Schizosaccharomyces pombe: one gene and its partners. Changing the gene in region 4 together with the main gene of any one other region gives a genetic interaction. Each region holds a gene or a part of one and is shown on either strand. Other genes may lie near its edges. The genes, in order: maf1, frs2, frs1 and trm1.

Region 1 (8,035 bases), on a different chromosome or scaffold from region 4:
TCCTAAACCGTGAATTAAAGCTTGAATGCTAGGTTTGTTGATGTGACCCAAATTGGAAGTTGTTTGTCTGGGTTCCTGACCCATCATTAGGGTAGACGGATTAATCAATCGAAAGGCGTCAATTACCACCTTTCCTTTGACAGATTGAATAGGGTCGACAACAACTGCCACCGCTCTTGGTGTTAATTGCTCAAATGATTGTTGGGTGTTGATATCGACACTAGAAAGCCAACAACCAAAACCCGGGTGAGAATGATACCAACCTACAACCATTTCTGGCCGTCCTGTTTGCTTAAGCATATCCATCATATTTTTTTGGAAAACTGGATCGACTGCTTCTACACTGACACCTGTACCAGATTGAGGCATTGCAAAAACATCAACAACACGTACTGTAAAGTCATCAACGAATTCTCCTAACATCAAACCCATAACTTCCATTGGTGTACCATGTCGCCCATGACGAAGCATTTTTAACAAAGCTAGAGATGAAATGTATACACACTCGGAATTATCAACAAGAGGCTGATCTCCCATCATACCAGTACCCATGCGGGCACCTTGTAACAATCTTTGTAAAGATTCCATCGCGAAAAATATGACTCGTATGTATGTATTGAAATATGAGAGTTTATCAGTATCAGTGGGGTTCCTCTCAAATAACCGCAAATAAAAGTGTAATTGGAGATTAAATGAGAAACTCAGTATAAGTATTTAAATAAAGTTACCAAAACGTTAATGCTGTTCACTGATATTTAGTAAGACGACAAAAACAATCAAAGGTCACTATAATGTGCTTGTTCTTCAAAGGAAGTTCTTTCTATATGTTTCAACCACTATACAAAACGAATATACAAGATTCTATGTCTTTGGTCTCACTTAGGCAGCTAGTATACGTTTACGTGGTAGTTGGCTATAAACAGGTTTTTTCTAGAGACAAATGAATAGCTATAACAATAATGAGGTATAATGCGTATTGTTAAAATAAAATAGTGATTTCATTAGAGTGCGTAATTCATAAAAGAATATGGTAGGTGGATGGAGAAAAACTATGCAGAATAGAGGAGGCATCCATTGCTATTTAAGTATAGCTATTGAGAGAAAAAAGGACGTGTTTTGAAAACTAGCCGGGTCCAATTTTAGGCATGTCAAAATGCTCCGACTGACTTTCCAGTAGTCTATTATACTCATCAATCCTGTCTTTATGTGTTTTCAATCGCTCATTCTTTGCTTTCTGAAGTAATCTTTGTTCCTGAACAGACTCAAAATGTTTCTGTGCTTCCGTCATCGGCATAGCCGAGTCTGTATCCTTTGAGCGAAGCATTTGGTACGTAGATACGCCATTTTCTTCTAAAGGTGATTTATCTCGGGAAGAATGCTCTTGAACTTTTTCAGCAAGTTTTTTAGAATCCTTCTTTTTCTTTTTCAAAGGTTTTTTTTTTACATTTTTCAGTTTTAGAGAACCACCAACGTAGTCCATAGTTCTTGGTAAAGGTAAGTTGGTGTAAGCAAAATGTTTGAACTGTACGATAAGAGGTGAAACAGTTTAATACATTTTACACTAGGAATTGAATTTAAAAATAAAATAAAATAAATATAATTTAATAGTAAAAGTGTAATAAGTAATACAATAAAAGAATTGATGTATGTTGTGCAAGTTTATTAATGGGCTCAATTTAAAAAAAATATGTATATATATGTACAATTTCATTGTACAAGTATACTCTAGAAGCGACGATTATTCATTAAATAAATTATTATTACTTTTTTTTTGGTTAATAATGATACTTGAACCGTTTCTTTTAAGAATTGTAGAAAAAATTGAATATTGAAAAATTGAGTTACTCAATGCTCATCAGAAAAATACGGAAAAACTTATAATCGATATTTTTAAACTGATTTGTTTTTATTAGACTCCTTTTAATTACTTAAAATATTTATTTTTATGAATAAATAAATGCATTTCGACTTGGACTTTAACACATTATACGGTTAAGTACCTTAAAACAGCATAAAAAAATAAATGGCAATGCATCGGGATGGTTTCTCAAATATATTAAGCTTCGGTAAAATGTTGAACCGACATCTAACAAACTCCTTACGCTTACTATTAGCTTATAGTCTGTTATTTAAGATTAACGTACCCTTAATAGAAGTGACATTGACGTTGGACGCGACGCTGATACCTAACCACAGCAAACCTCTTTTTAATGAAAGGAAACAATTGAATTGATTACATTACAATTACTATGAAGGTAAATATATTTTACTTTTTATTTGTCTTACTAAACCCTGTTTTTGTGACCAGTTTCTTGAGCTTGCCGATTTAGATACAGTCAATAATGCCTTATCATTTGATGCCGATGATTGTCGCATACGCGGAAAGTGCGAGCTCTATACAACCAAGGTAAATTTAACTTGTAAGCTTGGTTAGTCTGGTAAAGGGAAAATTGTACATTGGTTCTTGAATTTGACATATGCTTTTAATAATGATCCTCTTTTCTTGCGTGGTCAAATCACTAAGTTGAACAATTTTGGTTCTTTTTGGTCTCTTGTACAAGATCAGCTAATTATATAATCATTGTTTTTTTTTGTGATTATTTATTTAGTTTCTTTACGTTTCAAATCTGAAACCAAAATGATTACGATTGTTGTTTACCAAATGGAGTACCGCGTCTGAGTGTCTGTTTTTAGATTCGGGAGCATTCTGCTTTATTAACTTACCAAGACATGAATATACTGATATATAAAATGTGCTAACAATTTTATAGAGTACAAATTCTGACAAGAAACTCTTTAAAGCTATAGAGAATCGGTGTCAGGAGGATCTATTTGCATTATCGAGTAGTAAATCACCGGAATATGCTTTCAGCCTAACTCAGCAAAGTCCATTTGGGCCTCTTGATCAGTCCTCTTCTCGTCGTACCTTTATGTACATTGTCGCTACTCTTAATGCCTCTTATCCCGATCATGATTTTAGTAGCCTCCAACCAACAGATTTTTACAAAGAGCCTTCACTATCTCGTGTTGTAGATTCCGTTAATTCTACACTTAATAACATTGGTCGTGGTAGATTGAGTGTGAATGGAATTTGGGAAATTATCGACCGTCATATCAACCTGTCTGATTGCAGCGTTTATTCCTATACTCCAGATAGCGACAGCGATCCTTACGGCGATGATGCTTTAATATGGGGGATGTCCTACTTTTTTTTTAACAAAAATATGAAGCGCATGCTTTATTTATCACTTCATGGTTTGGGCAAGGAAGTCTCGGGTCGGAATCGTTATGGAAATGACGATGATTCTGTGTTTACACCACTTGCGGACGATGCAGAGCCAAGCGATTTTGATGACGATTGGGTTGCTAACATGGATGATTAATTTTTTGGTTATTTGGGAAGTAATGGTTTCTGCTACTTTCTCTTTTTCTCTCTTTACATTTTGTTCAACTCGCAAACTAAATTGCACCGTGCTCATTTTATTATTTCAGAATCATGACTTTTCGAAATTTTCTTGTTTTTTCTAATTGTAAATACATGAAACCTCACCTTTCTTTAATATCTCCCTGTTAATTAGTTTATTTCAAATTATTTATAGCAACCCTTTCTTTTTTGCATTTTTGAAAAAAAAAATATGCCCCCAGCATTTTAGGTACTTCTTGTTTTTTGTTTTTTATCCTTTAAGGAACCTATTTTTTCACATGTGATTTGTACGTTAAGATTTTCCAGACTGTACTACGGTTTCTACTCTCTTGCAACACACGTGTTTATACATAATAGATTAAAAAATTTCCAACAACTGTTTCATAGGTTTGTACATGCAATTTGACCTTAGAGGAAAATTTTTTAATCTGTCCTCATTAATCATCTGAGCCTAACTATCTTTAAACGTTCACATCAAGTTCCCGAATATTTGAAGCCTTATTAAGCATCATCTTGACATAGCATAATGATGTATTCAGTTATTCAATTTAAAAATTACCTTTTCTTTGAAAATACTTCATTTACAACAAATAAAAGCTATGCATTTACTTAAAAGATAAAGAATTAATTTCATAGTAGTTGTATTTAAGGAATTCAAATTACCCTAAGAATTGATGCTTTCCTATCATTTTACCCGAACATGAGCTCTAAGTTGAGTAGTAAAAAATAGAAATGTTGAGTGCATAATTCAAATGTTGAATACTTGTTCTACCGTGCTTCATGATAGACGTTTACTTAACCATTTCCATCATGAAAAGAAATAAATAATAAAGAGAAAAAAGGAAGCATTGATGAAATAACCACAAAAGATTCTTTAAAAAGGACATTTCCGATATTCGCAGACGAAACAAAATAATGCGTAAAGCGAAATGTCTAAAGAGTTATGATAACGATACACATCTAAACCGACGAACAGAAAACGTATTTGCAAGACAGTTGAGCGATTACTTAGTTAATGAATTAAATCAAAACAAGCTTTCTGTTTTTATCACTTGCCGTAAGTGCTGAAGAATGAAGTGGTAACTTGAAATTAAAATTGATCAACCACATAAATTAGACGCTGATAGACAAAGCCGCAGATTAGTAAGAGCGAAAACGCAGCCGAGAAAATGTCACAGGAAACTAGGATTGATTGGGAGTCGTTAAAGCCCCATATATGATGCAAATGAAATCTATAGTAAATTTAGTACACTTTTTAACCGAGAAGTAGGACCCAATGTGAAGAAAAAGATCAAACCTATAGCCATAGGGCTTGACGCAACTTATCCAAAACGCGCGCGTCTTCGCTACAGGCAACTTTCTCGACAAGAATATCATAAGGAGCGAGAAACTTTGGTGCTTGAACAAGCGGTGGACCCGCGTCTGGATACAGTCCATATGGAATAGTGATACGTGAAAGGTTAACATCACTACTTGGCGTGACTAATGAAGGATCAGGGATAGGCGAAGAATAGGAAATAAGGTGAAGTTTATGATTTAAGGAGGTAGTAATACTAAAGGACTGCTTAATTAAGCCGTTCGGTTTGTAATGCAACCCCCGTAGGTTCTCATCATCAACCGACTCTTCATCACTCAAGCTCGCGGCTCCACTGTCCTCATTGCTGTAAGCATTTAGGGAACTATTACCAGTCGTATCTGCAGAGGGAGAGCGTTTAAGGGAACCATCGGTGGAAAGACCGTGATGGTAAGGTTTACGTTTACCCTCCATTTCTCGGTAGGTTAAGAATGAACCGCTGACACGAGAAGCACTCCATGATTTACCATCAGTCCAACGGCGCATTCCAGCTTCCCGTTCATCCCACACAAAAACACTGCCTGCTCGTATCAAGCTTCTTTCATGGTCGGACAATCGACGCTGGACGCGTGGAAGAAGACCAATTCGACAGGCCTCGAAAAGGATAATCGCATCCAACGGGGTCTTAATGATACCTGTATAAGTTTGCATGACGAAAGGCAAAGCCGATCAGATCGTAGTTTGAAGATGAAGTAAAATCAGAAAATAGCTGTCACGAAGATTCAAAAAAAAAAGCGCACTGGATTAGTTACCAATGCAAAGATCAAAAGAATCAACTAACGAAGCTCGGATTAAAGAGAAATAAAATAAATAGTTTTATAAATATAAGTAGAAGATAAGTTGACTGTGCGTGTATATATACAGCTTGACCGATAAATGGGTAGTCGAGTAAGTATACAGGAATGGAGACCTTCAATAAATTATGCAATTCAGTCCGAACGAACGCAAGATCTTAGGAAATTCAAGCAGGGAAAAATTAAATCTAGATATTATCTTCAAAGAAAATTCAGTTGCAAGACTAGCCGATTTGATTACCTTTTAGTACTTTCTAAAAGAAAATGAAACAATTAAACGGCAGGGAGAAGCAAAATTCAGAAACAATGAAGGAAAGTAAAAATTATTTAATAAATGATTTTCTTTCTTTTTTTAGGGAGTTATAATAAATATTATTATTCGCGGTTTCAACTGATCGTCAAAAAAACACCCAAAAAAAACAGACTTGACCAAAAAAACTTCCAATCAAGTATTAAATCTTTACAAACCCAATAGCTCACTTGTATGTTAAAAGCAAAGAAATTTAAATTCAGCTTTTTTAACAATGCTCAAGGTTGAAATTTGGCAATAAGAAACGTCACAAATAGTTAAAAATGGAAACAGTCGAAAAAATCAAGATAGATCAAATTTTTTTCTCAATGAAAAAATTAAACGAATCCGTTCACTAAAATAGAACACCTTTCTACACCGGTTCTCTAGTTGTGGTAAAAAAAGGTCCCTAAAAGTTCTTTGCAAAGGAAAAAGCTAATGTACGACAAGGCAAAGTAGCTGTTCTTTGGTTTACAATGCTTCAATCATACAACCGGTACAACTTCACTTGCTGTTAGTTTATACACAAATTTGCTTAATTTAATTTTGTTGTCCAACCTTTTTATTCGTCAAAAAGACGCTATTCGAAGGTGACAACGTTTTGCTGCTTAATGCAACACTGCGGTTGGTGAAGGAAAAGTTGAGTCAAGTAGGTTGAAAGATAGTTTATATGTGCGAGGCTTCGGTTATGTTAGCGAGTTAAATTTTTAAAACTCAAAAAAAACCTAATACGGTAAATATTCCGTAAATCCCTTACCCAACGCTAATCCCGATAGTTTTAGGCTGGTCTAACAATTTAATAAATATAATTATTTAGTTTCCGCTGCTAGATAAGATTCAAGGTAAACTTTTTCCCCAACACTGTTGATACGCCTTTAATGATCAACAACAAGATTACTTTGATTATCAAGTACAAAGTACAATGGAATATATTTTCAATCCAACAACTGCGTTCAAAACCAAAACCTGCCTTTCCAATATTTGAATTTTGTTATTCTTTAGTAGGGACCGGTTCATAAAACCGTTCGGGCCATTTCTTTTCCGACACTCAATTACTTTGGGATGAGTTAAACAGATTTAAAAATTTCAAAGATTTTCCGGCCCTTTCAGTTGTTAGTTGAAATGCTAAAATAGAATGTCCAAGGGACTATCAAAGAAATCTCGGACCCCGAACTATACTTATTTTATTCTTTTTTTTTTTTGAGTTAATATTAGCCGATGAACCGTTGAACGTGACTTGTTTTAGTAGAGCCGTAGCAGTGTCGATTGTTTCGTTGGCCACCACCAAACCATTCATTTTTGCATCTATTATCCGTCATTATCAGGGATGAAGTAAGAAATAAGTTAGTAACCATACGATCCATGCTTAGATATTAATTAAATAACGAATATACATTAAAAATTTAATAAATAAATAAGCGGAAAGGCTCGGAATGAGGCTGGTTACAATGCACACGTGCATGTTGCAAATACATCGCACTTAATCGGATTAAGGTAGACGAGAGAGGATATCAGGTAACCAGCAATTGGAACAAGTATGAAAAGAAAGTAATTTAGATTGGCAACAGTATGTCGAGAAGTAAAATGATTGATGGGTTCGCAAATGAACCTAAATCAACAGTATCCAGTATGTGGAGAGGAACCAGGTGACTCACTCTTCTTCTCCATTGCTCTGCCATATAAACTTTAATGCTGCAGAATTCTTGTGTAGGTACGTTTTGCAGGTAGACGGGTTCGGTTGCTCTTGAAGTGCAGTCCAACTATTTTCGCCCCTGTCGCAAAAAGAGATGAGAAATATCATTATATTGTGTGGGAAAATTGAGACAGCCAAGAAAAACATTCAATATGACCTGGGCAAACGTGACATACCAGCAAAAAAGATATTTTTTGACTATTTTTTCTTGCGCACTTATTAACGTTTCGTCTGCAATATTTGTTATTATACGTCAGGAGGAAGACTTTTCAAATCTGTAATTGCGATTCTCACACTCTCACTTAAACGTGTCTTTTTCCAGCCGCGAACACTCGCTACCAAATTTGTGGCTTGCGCTCTCAATTCCTCCTCGGACCATTTTGGCATTTGCTTGACAATGCCTTTCCAATCAATGGCATTTATGGAGATTGCTTCTCCGCATTGCCTTTGTACATGTTCTAGTAGTTTTAAACTATCCGCG
Region 2 (8,466 bases), on a different chromosome or scaffold from region 4:
CTTGCAATAATAAAGAAAGGAAAGTAAAACCTTTTAAAGCCTTACCAACGTTAGTCAGTAAACAATAATACCAAATAATGGCTCCCAAAACCAACCTCCAGATCAGTGTAATTTGTGCTTCGAACCAAAATCGAAGTATGGAAGCTCACAACGTCTTAAAGTATGTCATTTTTGAATTTTATGAGGTAGTTTGCTAATCTCCATTGAAGGAATGCTGGATACCAAGTTGATTCGTTCGGAACAGGTTCAGCTGTACGGTTGCCGGGTCCCAGTATTGACAAACCTAACATTTATCAATTTGGGTATCCATATGATGAAATTTATAAAGAGCTCGAGGCCCAGGATTCCCGGCTATACACGGCCAATGGATTGCTTAAAATGCTTGACCGAAATCGCCGTATAAAGCGCGCTCCTTGTCGGTGGCAGGACCAAGATTCCATATACAACATTGTAATAACCTGCGAAGAAAGATGTTATGATGCCATTTGTGAGGATCTGTATCGTCGAGGTGAAACATTGAATCGACCTGTGTACTTAATAAACGTTGACATTAAAGATAACCATGAGGAGGCCAGCGTAGGTGGAAAGGCCATTCTCGATTTAGTCAACAAATTAACCGAGGCACAGGATAAATTGGAAGAGCTGTTCCCTTCTATAATGGCCGACTTTCAATCTAACCATCCTAAACTTCCTGTATTGTATACTATTCATTTTTTTTAATATCATTTATCGTTACACGTCGTTATCGAATTTAATAAAGCATGTCCTTTCTCCTAGTATATCTACAACGTTCTAAGTAATAAACACAGTAAATTGGCAAGGACGCAAAGCTGTCAGTAATATTTTTAGATAGAAGATTTCTCTTCGCACTCGTTTGCCTGTTAATGTGTTTGGCAGTACATTAGGCATTTTAAAGACTTTTTCTTTAAAAATTTAATTCACAGAAAAATTATATCAAATTAATTTAGGGTCCAGCACGTCCTTGCCCATTGTATTAGTACAACTGCCTTAAGTTAATTTACACAGTCTATCTTTTTCAAGTCAGCGTAAAAGAAAGGACATATCATTTAATTCCCTGAAAAAGATAGAAAGCTCATTTTTTCCAACTTCTTTCCTCAAATCCCTAGTCTTAAATTTGCTTTCAAACTATGCAAAGTATTATTATTCGTCAATATCGGTTTTTAGCTCGTTACTTAGAGCCTGAATTTGTTAAAGGTATGTTAAAAATTGGTTTAAAATTAAGCTGTACAATTGCTTTGACCCACGGAAACAATGTAATCACCTCTAACGCTATTTTATAGACCCAGCCCTAAGGAACGCCAATGCGAGGCCACGTGAAAAGCTTCAGCGTTTGTCTCATATTCAGTTCAGTGAACTTTTAACAGACGTTGCTGATGAACTACAGCGTAGGATCAACAATGATCCCAAAGGTATTTTGATTTACACTCTTATGAGTCTACAATTCTAACCCCTTATAGTCAGATTCTTACCTCCTGTTGATTCTTATCATCCCAAGCGGAATCATGCTCGACAAAAACTTTCTAGTCTTGCTCCTACAAGGCTTCGGGATCTTTGTATGGATGTGTTTTTTGAAGTTCAATCAAGATATAGTGGTGCTTTAAAAGAAGTTTCTTCAAATACACCACCAAACATGACTAGAGCTGCTTCTCAGCCTCCTCCTCAGGTGCAACGTTTACCTGCTTCCGCTCCCAAGCACGATCTGTATAGCAGTGCCAACGCCTCTTCCGCTTCCCTTCATCCAACTGAACAAAGAACCACAAGCTCTCCCACTATACCAAGTTATGCTAATAGAACGCATACTGATTCTCCTACTTCCTTGTCTCATCGTCTACCGAATGTTCCAGATACCAATGCTTTAAATACTGTTCAAGCAAATAATTCCTCTACCTCGTCATTGAGCCAGGGTGCTCAGACGGGAATTGATTCTTCGTCAAATTACTTGAGTAGAATTGAGATGTTGGAAAGTAGTTTGGCAAAATCGAACTCTTTGCTTGACAGCTCAAAATCTGAAATGGAGGCTTTAAAAGCCAAAAGCATTTCTGATGCTACGAAACATAAGAATGAAATCTTTCAATTGGAGGAAAAGCTTCATGAGGCATCCCATGAGGCTGAAATTTCAATAAAAAAGCTAAACGATGCTGAAAATCGAATAAAAGAGCTCGAAAACAACCCAACGCTTAGTTTTAATCCTGAGTTGGAAAAAAACCTAAAGCTAATGCAAGAATTGATTGTTGCCGAATCTTCAAAAACCCAGCACATTGTCGAATTGGAAAGCTGTATTGACTCCTTGAAGGCCGAAACGGAACGCTGGAAAAAGGTTGCTATCAACGCGAAGTCCGCAAAAATTGACGAAGATATAAGATTGTTTACCATGACTACTGTTCCAATGAAGTCTATTCGGGAACTGATTTCACCCAATGGATTTTTAGATGAACAGCTTTATATTCGTTATTTCGTTGAAATGAATGTCTTTGTGGCATCTTTAAGAAGGGATAGCCCTTCTCAGTGGATGTCTACTGCTAAGGATATTGCTTTGACTTTGGAAGCCATTGTTTCCAGTTTGCGGGAGAAGTCGCTTTTAGAAGAGCTTCCCGATTTAGGAAAAAAGGTTGATGATTTATGTTCGTTCACAAATAGTTTAATGGAGCAAGTAAGACTCGCTGTAATAAATGGTGCCTTACTTCCCATTTATCACGTCGATGCTTCTGCTTGCTCTATAAGTATCAGTCTTATGGACATTGCAAAAACCTATGGACTTACCAACACGGGAAAATCTTCTCTTTCGGTCGGAAGAAATTCACTTCATCCGGTTGACGATTTGAAGGCATTATCTGTTGCAAAAACCTTGCTTTCCGAAAAATCTAAACAATTTAGTGAGACCAATCAAAAGCTTTTGGATGCTATTAGCAGTGATAGTTCTTCGTCTACCATCCAGCAAAGAGTTCATGAAGACATCAACGTTATACGTGACACACTTTTTGATGTATCTTCACCGTTAGAACTTATGCGGGATCGTGCCGCGTACGCGGTAATTCATAACGCTCTTCAGGAAATGCGAAGATATTGCATGCAGTTAATTGAGCAAGAAGGACATGGTGAAAACTTTGGATTTACAGACAACAACTCCGTACCCCCTCTGACTGATCTCGCCTTTTCTGCGGCCAAATGCTTTAAAGATATTTTACGGGCTATCGAAGATGCGGAATTTAGCGTCCAGCGGACACAATTCTCCACCCGTTAAAGCAACAAATGTTGATATAACTAATTTGCGAAGCTACATTGGTTTTCTCCACCTTGTTTATATTCTATAATATTGTTGAATTCCGATATCAATGGTTGCTCCCACCAAACCTCTTTTTCAGCTGTATAAGCTAATCCCTCAATTTTATTTTGGCTTCAAATGATGAACTTTGTCGGGTAAATCAATGTTTACCACTAACTGGCTATACATGCCTATAATCACTCTTTGTTATTCATTTTTGTTAATTTTCTATTCTTTACCAAGTTTAATTATACTAAATCGATCAATTTTTTTAATTGACATTAAAAGAATTCTCATAAGTACGTTTTTTACTGTTTTCGTGATGTTGTTAGAGTATCGTAGCTATATCAGCGATTTCAAACAGAGATGGATAATCTGAATTAGGATGTCCCGAACATTTTCTATCTGACATAATTTGTATGCTCTTACCATATATAAATTTTAGTAGTACATAAAACATAAACTTGTCAACGACGGCTTAATGTGTAGTGCTTTGAATCCGATGCTCACCGTTTCACCGTAGCACTCGCGTATCGCCAGTTACTTTACCTACTGCCAACACACCAACAAAGCTGTAAGATGTCAAAGCTTGAAGCCCTTCAAGTTTTCCTGCTTGAAAAGCTAAACGAAAAAAATGAAATTCCAAACACCAGTCATTTGGAATTCGATGGGAAGAAGTTAGGTCCTCAAGAAGCTCAATCGGCGATTTTGTCATTAGCTGCTAAAAACATGATTGAATTTTCAAGACATGAAATTGAAATTTACAATTTGACTGCAGAGGGTGAAAACATTTGCGCAAATGGTTCTCATGAAGCCAAAGTTTATAATGAAATTTGCGCTTCTATGAGCGGTTTAAATATTGGGGAACTCAAGGTAAAGTCATTGGAATCGTAGTTGTGAACGACGAAGCATTTAAATATAATTAAGTCTAAACGCCCGGTAAATATTGTTAGTTTTTTTTTTCTAGCATTATGTTGCATTTTCGATTTTTCGCGTTTTGATGCAACACCTTTTCATATCGCTACGTCTGCCTTTTAGTTTTTTTGTACTTTTTCTAACTGATTTAGAAAAAATTGGGGAATTCGGCTGGTATTGGTCAAGGAAGAGCCTTTAAACTCGGTTGGATTAAGAAAGATGGAGACAAGCTTGTTAAAAATGTAAGGCAAAGTTATAGTAGTGCAAATTGATTTAACGTTATGCAATATTTTATTTACTAACTGACCAGACTGATTCCATTACAGATGAGACCCCTAAGGTCCTTAGTGAAATTAAGGAACATGGAACTATCTCTGACAGTAAGACGTTAACTGATTTGAAGAAGAGAAAGCTTGTTGAACGTAACAAAATTATGTACTTCTCTTTGAGGAAAGGTCCAAATTTCTCGCTTCAAATTGAAAAACTGAACACCGATTTAACTGCTGAGATGATCACCTCTCGATCATGGGAAAGTGCCAAGTTTAAATCTTACAACTTTGCAGCTGAAGGTATACCTCCAGCTGGTGGATGTCTTCATCCTTTGATGAAAGTACGTGAAGAATTCCGTAAATTTTTCTTCGAATTGGGTTTTGAAGAAATGCCAACCAACAATTTTGTTGAAAGTGGATTTTGGAACTTTGATGCTTTATTTGTCCCCCAACAACATTCAGCAAGGGATGCTCAAGATACTTTCTTTTTGAAAGTTCCTGCTTCTACTGATAAATTGCCAGATCCCGAATATGTTGCTCGAGTAAAGGCCACTCACGAAAACGGTGGTGAGACTAAGGGCATTGGATACCGTGCTCCCTTTTCCTTGGAGGAAACTCGTAAACTAGTTCTTCGTACTCATACTACTGCTGTCTCGGCGAATATGTTGTACAAACTTGCCCAAAATGGCTTTCACCCTGCTAAATACTTCTCAATTGATCGGGTCTTCCGCAATGAAACCGTTGACGCAACTCATCTTGCCGAATTTCATCAAGTCGAAGGCGTAATCTGCGATAGAAATATTACCCTCGGTGATTTGATCGGTTTCCTTGAGGTGTTCTTTGGAAAAATGAACGTTAAAAATTTGCGCTTCAAACCTGCTTATAATCCTTATACTGAACCTTCATTGGAAGTCTTTTCCTACCACGAAAAGCTTGGTAAGTGGGTTGAAGTCGGAAACAGCGGCATGTTCCGTCCGGAGATGTTAGAGCCTATGGGATTACCTAAAGATGTTCGTTGTTTAGGTTTTGGTCTTTCTTTAGAGCGCCCCACTATGATCAAATATGGTGTGGCCGACATTAGACAATTGATTGGTCCTAAGGTTAACTTGGACCTAATTGAGGCTAGCCCTGCAGTTCGTTTAGACAAAGAGGAATAAATTTAGTGTTTTTTTTTGCATAATCGTTTATAAAAATAATACATAATCACTATGGTAAACGTATTTTCGTATAGGGTCAATTATTAATATTTACAATGTCTATAAACATTAACTAAAATTATTTGATGTTTGTACGGATATCAAATAAAAAGTCGAAAATTCATTAATATCAGCCTCGAACGCGAACATCCACAGCTTTGTCTAAGTATTCATCATTCAACCGTTCGTCTTCTTCTTCCAAATGCCCAGTTAAGTCTGGTGGAATTTGCTGCATCTGAACGCTTGGCGCTCCTCCTAAGTAACGTAATTGCTCCAAGGCCCGTATTCGAAGATCTTCAAGAGCTTTCGGTGTATTTTTATTTTCTATCTTCGTGGTTAATCGCGGATGGAGGGTGTAATCTGGTGCGAAAAATTCGTAATACAAAGTTTCACGAGGTAATTCTGAAGGTATTTGTTCGTTTACACATATGGAAGTTTCATAACACCACGCTCTAGCAACATTTCTAAGAGTATAACCACCACCTCCAACTACAAGCATGGGTATATTGAATGAACGGGTAAATCTAACACATTCCCCATGTGCATGGATGCTCAGATTGAACACGCCGAGCCGATCATAACCAAGCGAATCAGCACCACACTGAAGGACAATTGCAGAAGGTTGAAAAGTATTGATAGTTGGTTCAATTATGGATTTGAAAAGACTAGTGTACTGTTCATCACCAATACCATCTTCCAAAGGAACGTTTAAAGCAAAATATTTCCCTCCTTTCACGCCATTTTCATCAAAATTACCAGTTGCAGGAAAAAAATCACCATTATACTTGTGAAAAGAAACCGTCAACACGCGGTCAGATTCATAGAATGCTTGCTGCACACCATCTCCATGATGAATATCGATATCGATATACAAAACGCGAGGAAAAAACCGTAGCATGTTCAAAATTGCTAGAACAATATCATTAACATAGCAGAATCCACTAGCCTCACCACGCTTTGCATGATGGAGACCACCGCTCCAATTGATAGCAATGTCTGTTTGACCTTGCACTAACTTCCGAGAAGCATCCAAACTAGCGCCTGCCGACCTTTGAGAAAATTCATAAGTGCCGTCAAAGACCGGACAGTCATCACCAATATTGAATTGTTGGAACTTATCAGCAAATTGTTCAGCATTATCAGGAGTAACGCGCTTAAGGAAATCCAAATAATCCTCCCTATGAAATTCTGACATTTCACCAAAAGTTGCCATCCGGGGGCTGAATACACTCATTTTGTTATGCAACCCATAACCCATCACTAAATGATTTGTAATGGTAATTCGATGGGGCTTCATTGGATGTTTGTCACCATAGTGGTAGTTTCCCACCTGTTCATCTAAGTGATATGTGACACGCTTTTTTTGAGGTCGAAAGCTAAAAAAAGACCCCTTTTCAACTTGTTCATAAGGTGTGGATGTCTCAGGAGTATCCATGATATACAGACTATTATACTAAAAAAAACCGCGAGACAAATTAAATGAAAATATCTTTTCTAAAGAAAGAACAAGAAAAGAATAAATAAAATTAAGAAACAAATTAATAACTGTTTCAGAAGAAACAAGAGAAATGAAAGTTATTGACCAATGCCAAATTAATATAAATCGAAAAACAACCCAGATTTTTTTATAGAAAAGAATTCAATCCAAATAATAAACAGCAACACGAACTGTAAATACTTTATTTTTACGTCGAGCGCAGAATACGTAGCAAAAGGTCGCTAAACCCGATACCTTATTAGATAAAATGTACAACTTCAACAAAGCGTTAATTCAAACTCTTTGAAGCCCATAAACACAAGAACAAATAGGATTTACAATTTTTTGAAGAATTGCTAGTGCTGGTTCATTCTTATAACTTAAAAATGTATATCTCAGTGAACACAGAAGGAAGCTACCAACTTAGGTGTAGTTTAGTATGTTATGCTTCCATATATGAACTAACACATTAATAACGTATCGTTATTACTTAAACAGATGGTAACCTTTAGCATGTGAATTCATAGACAATTTGGCAACTTAGATATCATACATACGTTGAAAAGATTTATCTTCAAAGTGATTTGGTTTGCGTGAATTCTTATGTTTTTATTTCGCCCTCTTTGCCTTCCAGTACTGTGTTTACATTATATGGAGTGGCGGAACTCAACACCAAATGTGGGCTACTATAAACAACCGGAAAAATTTTCAGCAGCTTAAGAGAGTGTAAAAATAATCTTTAAACGACACAAAAACGAGCCATAGGTTCATATATATTATTTCAATTAGTGTCTTTGTCCTTCTCGTTTGTACATTTATTGTCACATTCCTCTACTTTAAAAGATAAAGTCATAGTATCTTTTATTCATTAGTTATTGAAGTATCGAAAATATTAGTGGAATATCAACTTTCCCTATCTCTTTAAAAGACTCAAATCTCCCTTTCTTTTGGAATTTGAAATCATAATAATAATTTTTGCATAAAGCGGAAATTAGAACGTATCTATAATTTTCAATTTGAGAATAATGGCAGATGATACAGCTTACATACTAAGTGAGTATTTGCAAACGTTGGATAATGTTCCCAACGAAACAAAACACATCTTTGACGAAATTAGTGTGAAGGAAGTTGCTGTACATGACATCTGGAAGAGAATTCAAGCAGCTGATTCTCAGATTCAGTCATACATTAAATCACATGGTTCCTTGACCCCACATCCAAAAGAAGATGCTTTGTATTCGACGATTCGCGAGGAGTATCAAAAGGCAATTAATATACAGAACGAGAAAGTCCAGTTGGCGGATCGTGCCAGATTGGGACTTACAC
Region 3 (8,543 bases), on a different chromosome or scaffold from region 4:
TGGATAACTCTGGTTCGTGGCAATCTGATGATATTTATCTTACAAGCGCCAGTCAGGTCACGGCGGCTATGCGTGATATTCACGCACAAATGGTACAGGCAGTGGATATGAGTGCCGAAAATGCAATGGAGTTGTCTTCGAGTACCAACTTGTTAGAAACTCTACAAGAGAAATATTTTGGTGTAGAGGACGTTTTATATACAAGTAAACGGATAATCAAATCGCTCAAATTAAGTGATCGAAGTGATTACTTTTTAGTCGTCTCGGGATTTGGGTTCTTCATATTTGTGGTTGTCTATCTTCTCTTCAAGCGAATTGTCTGGCCTATTCTTTCTATGTTTCTTTGGTTTCTTCGGTGAGATTTTGAAAATGCATTGTTTATTAAAAAGAAAGGCGAGATTAAAAGCAAGGCTTTTTGAGGCTCGTTCCCATCGAGCTCGAAGTATCTATACGAGAAATTATTTTTTCGCCCTTTTTCTCAATTTTATTTTGAAAAAGTCTTTGTAAAGTAGTTCTTATGTTTTAATGTTTATCTTATACGATTGGTTTTTATTTACGTGTTGTTCTCTTTAAATAAAAACGTTGAATGGCGTAGAAGTTTGCTGATGATAGTAATGCTATAGTATTTGTAACTCAATGGGAAACGCCATTCCGTAAACAAAATGAGTTCTTGCTCACGAAATATGCGACAGTCGGCATGCAGCTGCATTTCAAATCATTCTTATTGTATATGCCTCTTTGATTGTCAAAACCATTTGTTTGACCACAGTACAAAAAGAGCAGTATTCTTTGAATTCCTAATAAAAACTAGAGCGCTTGTTAATTGGGAAACGCATCTTGTTAAGTCTGTCGCATATTTTCTAGGGTCCGGTACGAACGCCTAGAATCTGAGATCGGATAGCAAACTCCATTAAACCTATAAACTTAAAACTAATAACTGCTTATGTAAAAATTCATTAACCAAACGTTCTAATTATTCAGTGTCCTGGTTCTATTTGTTTGTGTGCTTTCTACTTCAAATGCGTAATATAGTGTTTACAAGCACGTAAGCATAACGATATAAATTAAGGCACATGCCCCGCGATGTCTCACAACAACTTGTCTTTAACCAAACTCTTTACGTTAGTTAACGGAGATATAAGTCTTTAAAAGAATTATCATAACTAGGTATCTGTCGTTTGATCTCGTACTTATTTCTTTGGTCGATTGGTGATTACTAGTGTAGGAGCATTCAATTAGATATAAACATTATTAATTCCGTAAACGTGTAAACACTAGTTTTCTCGAAATTCATTTGTTGTGACCTTTCTGCATTTCATCTCTGTTTTTTTTTCTTTAGTTTAGCATGACTCACACTCCTTCGTTCGATCTCTCTGACATCAAGTCCACATTAAGTACTAATGTACTGCATGCCGATGATGCTTATGCATTAGAAAATGATGTGGCTCCTCCCATCCATATTTCTACTACTTATACTTATCCCGGTACTCCTGACACTCTTCAGCCTTTCACCAAACTAGCGGAGGAAGACTTTCCATACTATGCCCGTATCAGCGGCAACAATGTTGATCGAGCTGAAGCTTCGTTGAGCAGTGTTCTTGGTGCACCTTCTGTTGTTTACTCATCTGGTTTGGCTGCTATTTACGGACTGTTGTCGTATTTAAATCCCAAACACATCGCCGTTCATAAACCCGGTTTCGGTGGTTATTCAGGCACAATCCAAATTATTGCACGCATCAATCGTCTAACCGGTTTAGAAACCTCATTTATTGATGGCAAATGCGATGCCATCGGTGAAGGTGATGTTATATGGTTGGAAACTCCTTTGAATCCTTTAGGTATTGCCTTTGACATTCCTTTTTACAAGGAACTGGCAAAAAAGAAGGGTGCCATACTTGTTGTGGATTCTACTTTTGCACCACCCCCTATCCAGGATGCACTTGTTTTAGGTGCTGATTATGTAGTTCACTCGGCGACTAAATATCTAGCCGGCCACAGCGATGTTTTGGCTGGAGTCACAGCCTCGAAAGATAGATCCAAGATCCTTGATTTGAAAGCAGATCGTGCTTATCTTGGCACAATTTTACATCCTCAGCAAGCATTCTTACTCTTGCGCTCTCTTCGTACCTTTCCTCTTCGCATCGCAAAACACAGTGAAAACGGATTTTTGGTTGCCCAACATTTGAACAAGTTGGCTACCGATGAGCAATTTGCTACTAGCCTAGGAATTGATAGTAGCCTGATTTTGGAGGTTTACCATAACTCCTTGCAGACCAAGGAATTTGTCGCTAAAAATTTGACTGGCGGTCATGCATCTTGCTTTTCTGTTCTACTTAAATCTGACACAGTTGCTAAGCATTTGTGCTGCGAGTTGAAATATTTCCATCACGCTACTTCGTTGGGTAGTGTGGAAAGTTTGATTGAATGGCGAAGAATGACGGATTCCAAGATTGATCCTAGACTTGTTCGCTTGTCCATTGGTATTGAAGACGCTGCTGACTTGATTGCCGATTTGAATCGTGTCTTTGCATCTTTAAGTTAAATCATTGTGTTATTTGCTTGTTTTCTAATGTACTAATGAATATTGTAATTCGTTCCTTTTGAGAACATTTTTAATTCTTGCTATCTTTCTTTGCAATTTTTTGTATTGTTGTGTTTCACGTAAAAATTCACCTTGATCGCTATTGCAACAGTAAAGCGAAGGGTACGATAGAATCGGTGAGATGTCATGTTCTAGGTCATCAACCCGATCATTTTCATTCTTTAACCTTCGAACATGCTTGGCATTAACAAAACCCATCAAAGCCTTTACTTGTTCATAACTAAGTATTCCCTCAATTGTCCAGGATGGACTTTTCAACCCTTCATGATTCAAACTATAACCAAAAAAGAACTCACGTATAAAAACTAAGTGAAGGTACTTTTTCTCTTTTCTGTTAAAGAATTTTTCTAAAAAAAACGATTTAAAGAAATTAATAATAAAATCGTATCAACCTGGACTCAATAGCATTACTAGATTTGGAAGATGATTTGCCTATACCTGGTTCTCAGGCATTGAGAAAGGTGTCTGCGACAGAGGTACTTGATTTACTTGTTGAACATGAGTTGGCCTTTCCGAGCGAATTTTTTGAAGAGTTGTCGAATTTATCATTCTCTGAAAAACAAACGGCGTTAAGCAACCCCAAAACTCAGGTTTACACCAAAGGGGTGTTCGCTGCAGGACAGGTTGCTCAAAGGTGTATTGCGGGTTGTTTAAGGAAAGGCAATCCTAATTACTGGAAATCTCAACAGGTCGTAAATGCATGGGCGCGATTGTTTCCTCGTCTGCGCTTCCTGTCCCGTCAGCAAATTTCGGGAACTCAGGAGATTGAAGTCAAGTTTTTACCAGACAATTTAGGAGATAATAAGGACACTTGTCATTTATGTGGTTTATCTGCCGATGACTCCGTCGCTACTTTGGCACCTGCTGAAATGCTCATACGGAGTCAAGGAGCTTTTTGGCATGAAGGCTGCTTGAAGTATTATAAGCACCATTTTTCTAAATAGAATTTTCAATTATGGCTTTGCTGAACTTAAAAAAAGTATGGTTTGACGATGTTTCACTAGAAAAATACAAAATACTTCATCAATTGTGAGTCGTGGTTGGCACCTTTATAATTCATTTTTTGATAAAAGGGTACACCAGTCAATAATTTCTACTAGGTAGGTATTATTTGCAGCATCGTCATCTCACCTACCACTTAAAATTTTTATTGTTGAATGAAAATCATTGTATTCATGATGCGGCTATTACATGCCGGTTGTTTTAAAATATATGACTAGAAGACTATAAATCAAAAGAAGTTTGATTTATATTGCAATTGTGCTATTATGAATTTGTTGCATTACCTTTTATCATCTCGAGCTTTAGTAATAGGGGCCTGAAGCATGTACAAATCAGTAGCTCGTGAGTTTTGTATTTATGGAATATCTCAGAGTATAAAATGAATATTAATTTATTATATTACGAATATATTCCTACCAAACTCCTATGCTAGCCAAGGCCGATTAAATCTAAAACAAGTAACAAGTCACTTCAGATTTAGTGGATCACCCTTCCTAGTGTGGTAAAGTAGGCCCGGTTCAGGCAAGCCCATCGTTCACCACAGATCCTTTGAAGCTTTTTGAATTTGAGGAAATGCCTACCATCAGCTGTGACAAGGAAGAGCTGTACAAGGCCCTAGGAAGAGAGTACAGTAAGTGAAAGATGATTTGTTGATAAGCAGCGAAATTTAACATAATTGTAGCAACTCAAGAGTTTGATGAACTCTGCTTCCAATTTGGAATTGAGCTTGATGAAGACACTACAAATGACCCAGAAAGAAGTCCTTCTGAGCGTCCTTCTTTAAAAATTGACATTCCGGCAAATCGCTACGATATGCTCTGCTTAGAAGGAATCGCCCAGGCTTTGAATGTGTTTAATCGTCGCATGGCTACTCCTCAATACAAATTACTTCCTTCCACCACTTCACTCACAATTTCCCCTGAAACCTCGGAAATTCGTCCTTATGCCGCTGCAGCTATCTTACGAGGTGTGAAGCTTGATCCCATTCGTTACCAGAGCTTCATTGCCTTACAAGACAAGTTACATGCAAATTTGTGTAGAAACCGTACCCTTGTAGCCATTGGTACCCATGACTTCTCTGTAATGGAAGGTCCGTTTACCTACGAGGCATTAAAACCCGAAGAGATCAATTTCGTTCCTTTGAATCAAACCCAGGAAATCAATGGTTCTAATTTATTAGAATTTTACAAGGATAGTAAACATCTTTCCCGTTATTTACACATCATTGCCAACTCTCCCAGATATCCTGTAATTTTGGATGCTAAGAGAAGGGTTTGCTCACTTCCCCCTATCATTAATAGTGAGTTCAGTAAGATCAGTGTGGATACCCGGGACATCTTCATCGATGTTACCGCAACCGATAAAACTAAACTCGAAATTGTTGTCAACATGATGACCACGATGTTCTCTTGTTACTGTGAAGAGCCTTTTACCATTGAGCCTGTTAATATCATATCTGAGCACAATGGGTGTACTCGTGTTACTCCTAATTTGAATCCTACATGTTTTAAAGCTGATATCGACTATTTGAACGAAGCCTGTGGATTGTCCCTTCCCGAAGATGAGATCTGTCATTTGTTGACCCGAATGATGCTTACAGCAAAGCCCAACCCAAATGATTCCAAGACTCTTTTGGTATACGTTCCACCCTTGCGCGCTGATATTCTTCACCAGTGTGATATTATGGAGGATCTTGGCATTGCTTATGGATATGACAATTTGAAACACACTTATCCTGCTCATAGTGTTACATTTGGCAAGCCTTTTGAGGTTAATCGACTAGCTGACATTATTCGTAATGAAGTTGCATATGCTGGGTGGTCCGAGGTCATGCCTTTCATCCTTTGCTCCCATGACGAGAATTATGCATGGCTTCGAAAGACTGATGATTCAAAAGCTGTTCAACTTGCAAATCCCAAGACTTTAGAATTTCAAGTTGTTCGTTCAAGCTTGCTTCCTGGTATTTTGAAAACGGTTCGCGAGAACAAAAATCATGCTTTACCGATTAAAATATTTGAAGTCAGCGACGTAGCCTTTTGTGATTATTCCAGAGAGCGCATGACTCGTAATGAGCGTCATCTTTGCGCCATTTTTGCAGGTTTGAACTCTGGTTTTGAACAAATTCATGGCTTGTTAGATCGTGTGATGCTTATGTTAAATACTAAACGCATCATGAATCCCAAAGATTCCGATGCTGTGGGATACTGGATCGAGGCTGAGGACGACAGCACCTTTTTCCCAGGTCGATGTGCAGCAGTGTACTATCGTAAAGATTTTGGTACTGCTGGAATTCGCGTTGGTGTATTTGGTGTTCTCCATCCCCTTGTTTTAGAGAAGTTTGAACTCACTTCTGCTGCTTCCGCTGTTGAAATTGATTTGACACTTTGGGTTTAGATAAAACATTGGTAATGGAAAAAAAAAAAAGCCGTAAATAAATTTTTAGACAATGCATTTATATCTTTGTAGTAAGTATCTTAAGTTTGTAACCATGTGAGATATTTGAGTAAATTATAAAACTGTTGAGGATCAATACCGTCTATTAGAGTTATCTTGCCTACCATTACTGAAAGATTAAGCAACTACAGGAAATTGTAGGATAAAACATTAAACTATTCATGATTACACTACAAAAAAGCAGAAAACAGGAAGACTGATATTACGAAATACCAACGTAAAATGGGCAAAAAGAAAATGTTTTAACGAATATCGTTCATTTAGTAACCGAATTCAGCAAGCTTTCCGTTAACAGAAGAGGCAGCTTTGGCAGATGCAATCTTCTTTTGTTTGGCGAGCTTAGCTTGGTAGAAAGCAGCGCTCTTGACCTTTCTGCGTTCTTCCAATTTGGAGACAATGTCGCTGTATTTCCATCCGACCTCAGAAGAAAGGCGACCGACGGTGCAGTATTTACGTCCAGGCTTAAGGCGTAAAACACGGAGGGCAGCAGGGACGACAACACGCTTTTGCTTGTCGAAAGGAGGGGGAATACCTTCAACAGCTTGTAAGTGTTCCAAGGCAGCTTGGCCACGAGCAGTCTTGTGGGGAAGCATACCACGAACAGCCTTTTGGAAAATGCGAGAGGGAGCACGGAAGTGGAAGGCACCACGGCTGGGGTTGTAACGGCAAGCCTTACGCAAATAGGCAAGGTACTTGAGCTTGTTACGGAAGAAATGGCCGGAAATATTCAATTCTTCACAGCGAACTACAACAACCTTCTGGCCGCCCAAAAGTTGCTTGGCGACAACAGATGCCAAACGTCCAAGGAGATGTCTAAATTTTGTTAGAAAACAATTCAAAAAGCATTAGAATTTTCAAATTCTCTTACCCCTTAGCGTCAATCACAACGACCTTCTGGAATTCCGACATTGTGTGCTGGAAGAAATGTTGACCATCTGTTGAGTTGTGTTGTTAAAGATGTGACTGCTTTTTTTGAAATCAAACTCAAGGCCATTTATTGTGTTTCGCTAATTTTATATCGTATTAACTGCGCACTGTGTAATCGAGTTTAATGGCACGTTAGCTTGCGGTGAATTTTACTTGTGGTGTACACTATATTGCAGTATCTGGGAAGATTGAACAATAAGAAGTGTTGTGGGTATAATATAAACAAAGGATGATATTATAACTGAACTGAGCTAGTCAGTTGACTATATATTTGATGTTGCAGCTAACAGGTATCTTTTAAAGCTCATTTGAGAATGTGTATATTCATATTGTAAAATAACGGATCGATAAGCAAAACATGTGTCGAATCGAACACGTGTATGAGACACGGTCTTCTAAAATTAAAAAGGAAAAGCAACTGTCATTGCAGTACCGCTATATTTGCTTTAACTAGAATTGGAAGCGTAAAATTAAAAGGCAATTACTTTTATTAAAAAAAAAGGAACATAAAATAAACTAGCTTAAAATTAGTGCTGTAAACATCTCAACCTACGAGCACAAAGTACTTTCAATTGGTATTGGACTACTTTCGTTTAAAAATAACATCTTTTAGCAACTTGACACACTAAAAACAATTCTACGTTACTTACTGCAGCTACAGTTTTAAATCAATACAAATATGAGATTTTTTTTCAATTCTAAATGCAAAATTTCATAAATTACTATGAAAATTACTTCTTGGCACCAGCCTTAACAGCGGCCTTGGTGACCTTGGCGGCACCAGGAGCAACCTTCTCGACAGCCTTGATGACACCGACAGCGACGGTTTGACGCATGTCACGGACAGCGAAACGACCAAGAGGAGCGTAGTCAGTGAAAGCTTCAACACACATGGGCTTGGAAGGAACCATCTTAGCAATGCAAGCATCACCAGACTTGACAAACTTGGGGGACTCCTCAATCTTCTTACCGGAACGACGGTCAATCTTCTCAATGAGCTCAGCGAACTTGCAAGCAATGTGAGCAGTGTGGCAATCCAAAACAGGAGAGTAACCAGCAGAGATTTGACCGGGGTGGTTAAGAATGATGACTTGAGCGGTGAAGCTAGCACAACCCATGGGAGGATCGTTCTTGGAGTCACCACAGACGTTACCACGGCGAATATCCTTGACGGAAACGTTCTTGACGTTGAAACCAACGTTGTCACCGGGAAGACCAGCGTCGAGAGACTCGTGGTGCATCTCAACAGACTTGACTTCGGTAGTGACACCAGCGGGAGCGAAGGTGACAATCATACCGGGCTTGATAACACCAGTCTCGACACGACCGACGGGAACTGTACCAATACCACCGATCTTGTAAACATCTTGAAGGGGAAGACGAAGAGGCTTGTCAGTGGGACGTGCAGGGGGCTCAATGGAGTCAATAGCCTCCAAAAGAGTCTTACCCTTGACGACACCAGCCTTGGTCTCCTTTTGCCAGCCTTGGTACCAGGGCATGTTGGTGGTGGGCTCAATCATGTTATCACCTTGGAAACCGGAGACAGGGACGAAAGGAA
Region 4 (7,977 bases):
ATCGAGGAACATTATTGTTTGACCATTGTTTGTAGTTAAAAGAACACCAAGGTCTGTATATTCCTGTATTGTATTTATTAAATGATCTTCAGTAAAACCCTTAGCAAGTACGCGTTCACGAATAGCACGTAGTGTAAGTGAGCGTTCATTGCCTTCAACATCTGGTATGCTATTAAGCATGTCTCGAATAATTTTATATATTTTCGAGGTAATAGTAGTATCGTGAGAACTAGGATCCAAATCATCGTATAGTGATGACTTTGAAACAGACATTAATCTCAAAGCTTCATCAACATCGCCAATCTCCACTCTATTACTGAAACGCAAACGAGCTAATGCTTGTCCCATTCGCAAAATAGCGAGAAGTGTACGTGGAGTAGTGTGAGCGAATTGACGCTCATTGGCTTCATCACGCTTTTGGTTTTGTCGAAGTTGAACATAAGCACCAGTAACATAGTCGCATACATCCTTTGGTACGACTGGGCGATATTGTCTAGCAGAAGAAATATAATGCCTAATCATGTTTGGATCTAATGGTTCAAAGTCCATTTTAGGTTGTTCGTTATGCATGTGAACATATGTTACGTGTTGTGCCAAATGCTCGTCTGTTTCACGAGAAGGAGTATCTAAAATTAAAAATAAAATATCAAACCGGGAAAGCAGTGCAGCTGGAAGATTTATATTGTGGATTGGTGCCACTTTCGGATTATATCGTCCATATAAGGGGTTCGCAGCGGCCAAAATACTTGTTCGAGCATTTAAAGTCGTAGTGATTCCTGCCTTTGAAATTGAAATAGTTTGCTGTTCCATTACTTCATGAATTGCTGTACGGTCACTTTCATCCATCTTATCAAATTCGTCAATGCAGCAAATACCGTTGTCAGCAAGTACTAAGGCACCTCCCTCTAAAACCATTTCATCCGTCACTGGATCACGCATTACAGCAGCAGTTAAACCAACACCTGAAGATCCACGACCTGTGGTGTATACTCCTCTCGGGGCAACCTTCGAAATATACTTTAATAATTGAGATTTTGCGACACCAGGATCACCAGTTAAACAAATATTTATGTCACCACGAATTCTCATTCCATCCCCTAACTCTTTAGTAACACCTCCGACAAGCAACAGAAGTAAAGCTTTTTTAACATCTTCATGTCCATATATCTCGGGAGCAATGGACTTGGCCAGTTTTTCGTACACATTGCCTCCTTGATTTAATTCAGCGATAGCAGCCTCCGATTGAGGAGTTTTTTCAATATTTGTGTAATTTTTAATGATTTGTGAAACATAATGGCATTCTAAGTAAGTATCGGTTAAGAGCCCGGCGCGCATTGCTCGAAAACCAGTATACGGAGTCGGCAAAAATATACCAGAAATATCAACGATATCGCCAGGATTTACAGAGCGAGTGATAGCACCATATAAGTGGACGGTTAATGATCTAGGGATATGGCCAATAGGTACTTGGTTCGTTAATTCTTGTATTTTTACTTCCTGAAAAGGAAGAAATTTACTGGCTCTTGTGCTCATGAAAAGCTGACCTTTTGCATCATTCTTTTTACATTCATCCGAAGGACATTCAGACATTGGAAGGAATGTCTTCTGACGGATTTCTTGAAACACTTCATACCCACATCGATCACATGTATAAGCATTTACAGTTAAGCTAGGCTTAACATCACTTGTACGAGTAACTATACCACGGACAGTCAAAAGAGATCCCAAGTTTTCGCCTCTTAAATCACGAACGCTGAATGGTTTTTTGTTGCGAGTTACTGGTCGAAAGTATAAGTCATAACCTCGGGTTAATTCAGGAGGAAATCCTTTATGCTCAGGGTCTATATTTTCATTCCTTTGAACACGTTGCTGCATAATTACATCAAGTACTTCGTTGCGATAATTAATTTCCACAGTAGGAGGAGGCATCAACGCATCTGCGCACTGCGAAAAAAGTTCAACAAACCGTTTAGCATTAGATTCAATATTATGCAAAAGCTGAGTATCACTTGGATCGAACTCGTACAAATCATTCAAATCAACATTAATAACATTTGACTCTCGATTGGAGATTTTTTGTAGTATATCCATATACTTTGATTTTAAAAAAGGCTCATCACCTGCATCCGACATCGAAATATCCTGATTTTGTTGTCCATCTTGAACCTGTTCCTGCTTGAAGTGGGATAGAAAATCCGTAATTTTATGTTGACATTCTTCATACTCTGGGATTTTTAAATCTATGGTGGGAAGTGCCATGCTTTTCAAACCAAAAAAGTATCCCAAAACTTTTCTGCTGAATTAGCAAAAAATATAAAGGTTCAAAAAGAAAGCAAGGGTATTAAGTAAGGGTAAGATACCAAGAAAGGTTCTTCTTTAGGTTGTTTTAGTTAGTTGGTAGTATGAATCAACGCGAACTCGTAAGGTAACAAAAATGTAAATATTGTAACTTAGGGCATATACAAATTGTCATTGACTCTAAAGAAATTGCAGTGTATAATTTTTTTGATTCTCTACATATTTCCTTTTTAATTTATTACTCTCGCAGCAAAAGTAAACATTCAGTTTGATTTTAAAAGCCACTATGTAGTACTGTTAGAAATTTTTTTTGGAGAGTATTCACTATGTATAAATAAACAGTTTATTTGTTTTAAATTAATAATAATCATTTTGCCAGACAATAAATTGGTCATTTTATTTTCATAAATGTATGTCTAATTGTTTTCATTGCTTCAATCGATTGTTATTTTAGCTATCCATAATTTTTCCTATTTTTCTTCTACACGTTTTGTATTTCTAAACATGAGAGTTATTTAGACTACTGCCTAAAATTTATTTCACTTTTATTTTTAAAAATTTTTTTGAAAACTTATGAAGTAAGTTAGCAGGGAAATTCTCAAAAGAAATGCGATATCAACAATATAAAAACTTCGAGTAGGGAACTTTTTATTTTTTGTTCGGTTATTTCAAACATCAGTGAAGAATGAATATAGAAAATTCTTTATTGTTTTATACCACATTGTAAACTGTACCTAAAAGCACAACACGCAATAGAAACGTGCTATTGGAATGCTTATTTATTTTCTGTTTACAATAGACGAATATAAGTATTTCTTTTTTTTTTTACGAAAGGATCAAGGTATTAAAATTATTCACAGTATGTGGCTAGGTCTCTGTCGCGCTTATCTTTTTTTAATTAAGCAATGTCTTTATGTACGGTCGCGTCGCATTAGAAGTTTCGTGATTTGTAATATTTGAGCAGTTATAAAGCGCTCTACATCTCGGATGAAAAGGAGATTGTGAAGAGATATTTATTTCTAACATCATATCGTACTACTAGGCTGATATCATTGCGTTTCATCTACAACATAAATTGAGGTACCCTGACGCGTCTTAAGTATTACACTGAAAACTACTTTATTAAATTATAACAAAAAGTGAGAAATTTAATAATTTATTTATTACATAAAGTAATAAATTCATTTCTATTTTTTCAATTATTTGAGCCTAAATAATTGAATTTATTCGACTCCACGCTTAGCATCGAATTCTTCGATTTAAGCTATCACATTTTTCTATTAACTAGCTACAATTTCCTGCTTTAAGAAACCGTTATTATAACACACCAGAAGGGAAAGGAAGTAAGCCCTTGCTTTTCCCATTTAATTTGAGATTGTCTTCGAATTTATTTCATTTTTTTTACTCGTTGCGTTTGTCTCCAAATATTAATTAGTACATTGTTTTTTTTCAACGTTATTCATCTCCATCAGCCTTTGACTTAGTTTAACTGCAATTTTCCACTCTGTAAAATAAGGCAGCATTTTGTCTATTTTGCCTTCACTCTTATTCATTGTGTTATCATACCCAAAGTGCGACAAATTAACATCCACAAAAAAAACGGTGGTGTTGAATATACTACAATACTGTGCACTACATTGGATAACCTACCTTTGAAAGTTTTGCCATTAACCACAACACATCTTGGGAAGCCACATCGCAAGAGATAATCGCGGTGGAAGAAAACTTTTGTACTTATTCTATATACAGATAAATCCGGTCAGTTTGGACGAAATCTCATTATTAATCTTACAAAATGGGCCTTGAGCATCTCGAAGAATTCAGTTATCCTAAGGAACATGGTGAAGAAGTCGAGTATGATAGCGAACAAGGTGTTCGTAAAATTTATGTTAAATCTATTAAAGAAACCTTTAACTTTGATAATGTAAGTGAAGAAGAGAAACAGGAAGGAGGCGACTACTACTTGGGCAAAAAGGAAGATGAGCTTGATGAAGTTGTGCTTCGCCCTAATCCTCACCGCTTTGTTTTGTTTCCAATTAAGTATCACGAAATTTGGCAATTCTACAAGAAGGCTGAAGCATCTTTTTGGACTGCTGAGGAAATTGATCTTTCGAAAGACTTGGTTGATTGGGATAACAAGTTAAATGCTGATGAACGTTACTTTATTTCCACTGTACTCGCCTATTTCGCTGCGTCAGATGGTATTGTTAATGAGAATCTTCTCGAGCGTTTCAGCTCTGAAGTTCAGATCCCTGAAGCTCGTTGTGTTTATGGTTTCCAAATTATGATTGAAAATATTCACTCTGAGACCTACTCACTTTTGCTTGATACATACATTCGTGAACCTAAGGAAAAACAGCGTCATTTCGATGCTATTTTAACAATGGGTTCTATTAAGGCCAAAGCCAAGTGGGCTCTTCGTTGGATTAATGATGAAGATTCCACCTATGCAATTCGTTTGGTTGCCTTTGCTGCTGTAGAAGGTATCTTCTTTTCTGGATCGTTTGCCTCTATTTTTTGGCTTAAGAAACGTGGACTTATGCCTGGTCTTACTTTTTCCAATGAATTGATTTGTCGTGATGAGGGTCTTCACACCGACTTTGCCTGTTTGATGTTTAGTCATTTGAAGCACAGACCAGGCCGCAAGGTTGTTGAAGCCATTATTGTTGAAGCTGTTGATATTGAGAAAGAATACTTCACGGACGCTCTTCCCGTTAGTCTGCTTGGTATGAATAAGGATTTGATGTGTCAGTATATTGAATTTGTTGCTGATCGTTTGTTGGTTGCTTTGGGCAATGACAAGTACTATAACGTAACCAATCCTTTCGATTTCATGGAGAATATCTCTTTAGCAGGAAAAACAAATTTCTTTGAAAAGAAAGTTTCTGACTACCAAATTGCTGGCGTTATGTCGGGTACCAAGCGCGCTGAGAAGGATGATCATACATTTACAATCGATGAGGACTTTTAGATGACTAGTTATTTTTGGTTTTTAGATAAGTTAAAGCAAAAAAAAAATATTATTGATTACTGATAACCTATTTAGCAATAATAAATTAATATGTTTAATTAGATTTTCGTTACTCTATACTTTACAAATCTAAATGGCTACTTCAGTGAATGTAATGACGAAGTTCTAATTTCTGAAGTATTTCTATTCAAGTTCTTTTCTCTTTTTCATTAATTTACTACGTCTAAGAAAAGTTATTTTCCAGTCATAGACTAAAAGACCATTTACTTATTATCCTTATTGTCAATTACCTAAACCTACAAGATTACATGTATTATACAATACTTTGTAATTCGATTTATGGTTGACTTATCACATCTCGTATTTTTTTAATGAATTACTGCAAATTTACTCTCAAAAATAATCAATACTTTCTTTTTTTTTAACGATTATTTTTCTTTAATTCGTATTAAATGTATGAAGCCAATATGCTAAGATTAAGTCAAAGGATCTCAAATGCTGTGAATCACTTCTCAACCGCCATGATGTCGGGGGCTTCTGCAAGTTTGACCGAGGGTAGTGCAATTATACCATTTTCAAATCCGAATGAAGTCTTTTATAACCCCGTACAACAATTTAATAGAGATTTAAGCGTTACAGCTATTCGTGCTTGGTCGGAAACTAGATCCAAAAAAATTGTTGCAAAATCTCATCACCGGCATCAGCTTCTCGATCAAAACTCCGAACTTAGCCAAGAAAATCTTACTAAATGTGATACAACTCATGATTTTGAAAAAAACTGTTCGGAAAAGACAGATTCTACTTCAGCTGATAATATTGCTGGATTTACCATTTTAGAAGCACTTTCCGCTACTGGATTGCGTTCCATTCGGTATGCTAAGGAGTTGCCAAATGTCAAAAGGATACTTGCAAATGATTTATTAGAAAATGCTGTGAAAACCATCGAGAAGAATGTTAATTACAATAATGTGAGCGATATAGTAATTCCTAATAAAGGAGACGCTAATGCTGTTATGCATATGAACAAATTTCATTACGATGTGATTGACCTTGATCCTTATGGATCTGCTGCCCCGTTTCTGGATGCTGCTGTACAATCCGTTTCAAAGGACGGTCTTCTATGCATCACATGTACTGATTCAGCTGTTCTAGCCGGTAATGCATATCCAGAGAAATGCTTTTCTAATTATGGTGGGTCCTCTTTGCGCTCTAATTTTTGTCATGAGCAGGCTGTTCGTCATTTGCTTTATGCTATTGCAGCTTCTGCTGCAAAATATGGTCGCGCTATCAAGCCGCTACTTTCCCTAAGTATTGATTTTTACTTTCGCGTATTTGTTCAAATTAAAGCAAAGCCTGTTCTCGTAAAAAATTTACAAAGTCAATCGCTATTGATATACCATTGTTCAGGCTGCGGTAGCTTTGCCGAGCAACCACTTGGAAAAACTTCTCCGGGAAGACTACCTGGAACCACCAAATTCTCTAATGCTTCGGGGCCTCCTGTATCTGCTAACTGTGAACATTGTGGATATGTGCATCATGTTGGAGGCCCTTTATGGGGTGGACCCCTACATGATGCAGAATTTCTCAAAAAAATGCGCGCCATTGCAGAAGATTTAGACCCTGAAGTCTATGGCACTAAACGAAGAATCTTAGGTATGCTCGCTTTGGCTGATGAAGAACTACCAGATGTTCCATTTTATTTTGTTTTATCCCAAATTTGTAGCGTCTTGCGCTCCCAATCTCCTCCTCAAAATATATTTGTTTCAGCTTTGTTAAACGCTGGATATCGGGTTTCTGGTTCTCATGCCAAGAGTAATGCAATTAAAACAAATGCTCCCTGGTCCTTCGTTTGGGATGTTTTGCGCTCTTGGATTAAAGATCATCCAGTGAAGCTTGAAAATATTAGTAAAACATCTGCTGGAGCAGCGATTTTGGAAAAAACTCCCACAGCTGAGGTTGATTTTACATTCAGGCCCGATTCCGAGTTTGCATCCAAAAAAGAAGGTTATACTCGATATCAAATGAACCCAACTGAAAATTGGGGCCCAAAAAGTAAACCTGGTAAAAGAACTATCGCTGAAGTTGACTCAAAATCTTAGGTAAAGTGGAGCACAGTTTAAATACTCCTTGTATTTTAGGTTTTTGGATAGTACATACAATTTCATTCTTTATGTTATTTCGGAAGGTTTATGCAAATTATAAACAGGCTAGTACAAAAAAGATTTAGTTTGTGTATTCCATACTAAATACTTGTTTAAACTAATAGTATCCGCAACACAATTAGCAATGTTAAAATGATTTATTGTTTAACCGTATTCTTCTTTTTTACATAATTATTTAAAGAAGGTGCAAATATTTTCTTAATTCTTTTGCTTCAACAATTTTTGGTATTGTTACTTTCGTTGGTGGGGTACTAACTCGTCCAACAACAGTTTGCTCATGAAATGTTGTCCTGCCTCGATATTGGATCGTTTTAATGCAATAAAAGTTATAAATGTGATGGGATTGCGTCTAAACGGACGAAGTGTTCCTTGGTTGCTTCAGACACGAAAATTTATCAATATCACTAGTCCAAGATACACAGCTGGCAGGCCTGTTATTTTGAATGAAAATCAACTAATTAGATACTTACCAAATTACACAAATAAAGGAGATGAAGAGGTAACCCGAAGGAAGAAATTGCATGAACCCAATGGACCAAAATTTCA

Evidence for each region.
Region 1: of trm1 (region 4) and maf1, changing one suppresses a phenotype caused by changing the other (phenotypic suppression), as found in Schizosaccharomyces pombe (one study listed by BioGRID).
Region 2: of trm1 (region 4) and frs2, changing one suppresses a phenotype caused by changing the other (phenotypic suppression), as found in Schizosaccharomyces pombe (one study listed by BioGRID).
Region 3: of trm1 (region 4) and frs1, changing one suppresses a phenotype caused by changing the other (phenotypic suppression), as found in Schizosaccharomyces pombe (one study listed by BioGRID).

Annotation. Positions count from the first base shown.
Region 1 is NC_003424.3:3,003,532-3,011,566, reverse strand, and holds maf1 (RNA polymerase III-inhibiting protein Maf1), read left to right. Parts: upstream 1-2,188; 5' UTR 2,189-2,249; coding exon 2,250-2,255; intron 2,256-2,287; exon of another isoform or gene 2,288-2,308; coding exon 2,309-2,407; exon of another isoform or gene 2,408-2,771; coding exon 2,772-3,383; 3' UTR 3,384-3,983; downstream 3,984-8,035. Other genes in the region: 19S proteasome regulatory subunit, ubiquitin-specific protease subunit Rpn11, read right to left, coding at 1-588; SPOM_SPAC31G5.21 (FAM32A family protein), read right to left, coding at 1,124-1,480; cAMP-independent regulatory protein Pac2, read right to left, coding at 4,722-5,429; RNA polymerase I termination factor, Myb family Eta2, read right to left, coding at 7,801-8,035. UniProt on the Schizosaccharomyces pombe protein: Mediator of diverse signals that repress RNA polymerase III transcription. Inhibits the de novo assembly of TFIIIB onto DNA.
Region 2 is NC_003424.3:3,168,742-3,177,207, reverse strand, and holds frs2 (phenylalanine--tRNA (Phe) ligase alpha subunit Frs2), read left to right. Parts: upstream 1-3,837; 5' UTR 3,838-3,862; coding exon 3,863-4,156; exon of another isoform or gene 4,157-4,350; coding exon 4,351-4,440; exon of another isoform or gene 4,441-4,508; coding exon 4,509-5,624; 3' UTR 5,625-5,664; downstream 5,665-8,466. Other genes in the region: RNA polymerase II CTD phosphatase Ssu72, read left to right, coding at 78-160, 210-720; spa2 (GTPase-activating protein), read left to right, coding at 1,149-1,215, 1,302-1,430, 1,479-3,262; class 1 histone deacetylase Hos2, read right to left, coding at 5,794-7,098; png1 (chromatin modification-related protein), read left to right, coding at 8,166-8,466.
Region 3 is NC_003424.3:4,095,758-4,104,300, reverse strand, and holds frs1 (phenylalanine--tRNA (Phe) ligase beta subunit Frs1), read left to right. Parts: upstream 1-4,141; 5' UTR 4,142-4,177; coding exon 4,178-4,235; exon of another isoform or gene 4,236-4,286; coding exon 4,287-5,998; 3' UTR 5,999-6,055; downstream 6,056-8,543. Other genes in the region: SNARE protein Sec20, read left to right, coding at 1-359; SPOM_SPAC23A1.14C (cystathionine gamma-synthase-like protein), read left to right, coding at 1,346-2,542; rpl1602 (60S ribosomal protein uL13), read right to left, coding at 6,319-6,871, 6,927-6,967; tef102 (translation elongation factor EF-1 alpha Ef1a-b), read right to left, coding at 7,717-8,543.
Region 4 is NC_003423.3:3,717,662-3,725,638, forward strand, and holds trm1 (mitochondrial tRNA (guanine-N2-)-methyltransferase Trm1.1), read left to right. Parts: upstream 1-5,721; coding exon 5,722-7,368; 3' UTR 7,369-7,477; downstream 7,478-7,977. Other genes in the region: MCM complex subunit Mcm7, read right to left, coding at 1-2,259; ribonucleotide reductase small subunit Suc22, read left to right, coding at 4,094-5,269; mrh5 (RNA helicase), read left to right, coding at 7,709-7,977. UniProt on the Schizosaccharomyces pombe protein: Dimethylates a single guanine residue at position 26 of nuclear- and mitochondrial-encoded tRNAs using S-adenosyl-L-methionine as donor of the methyl groups.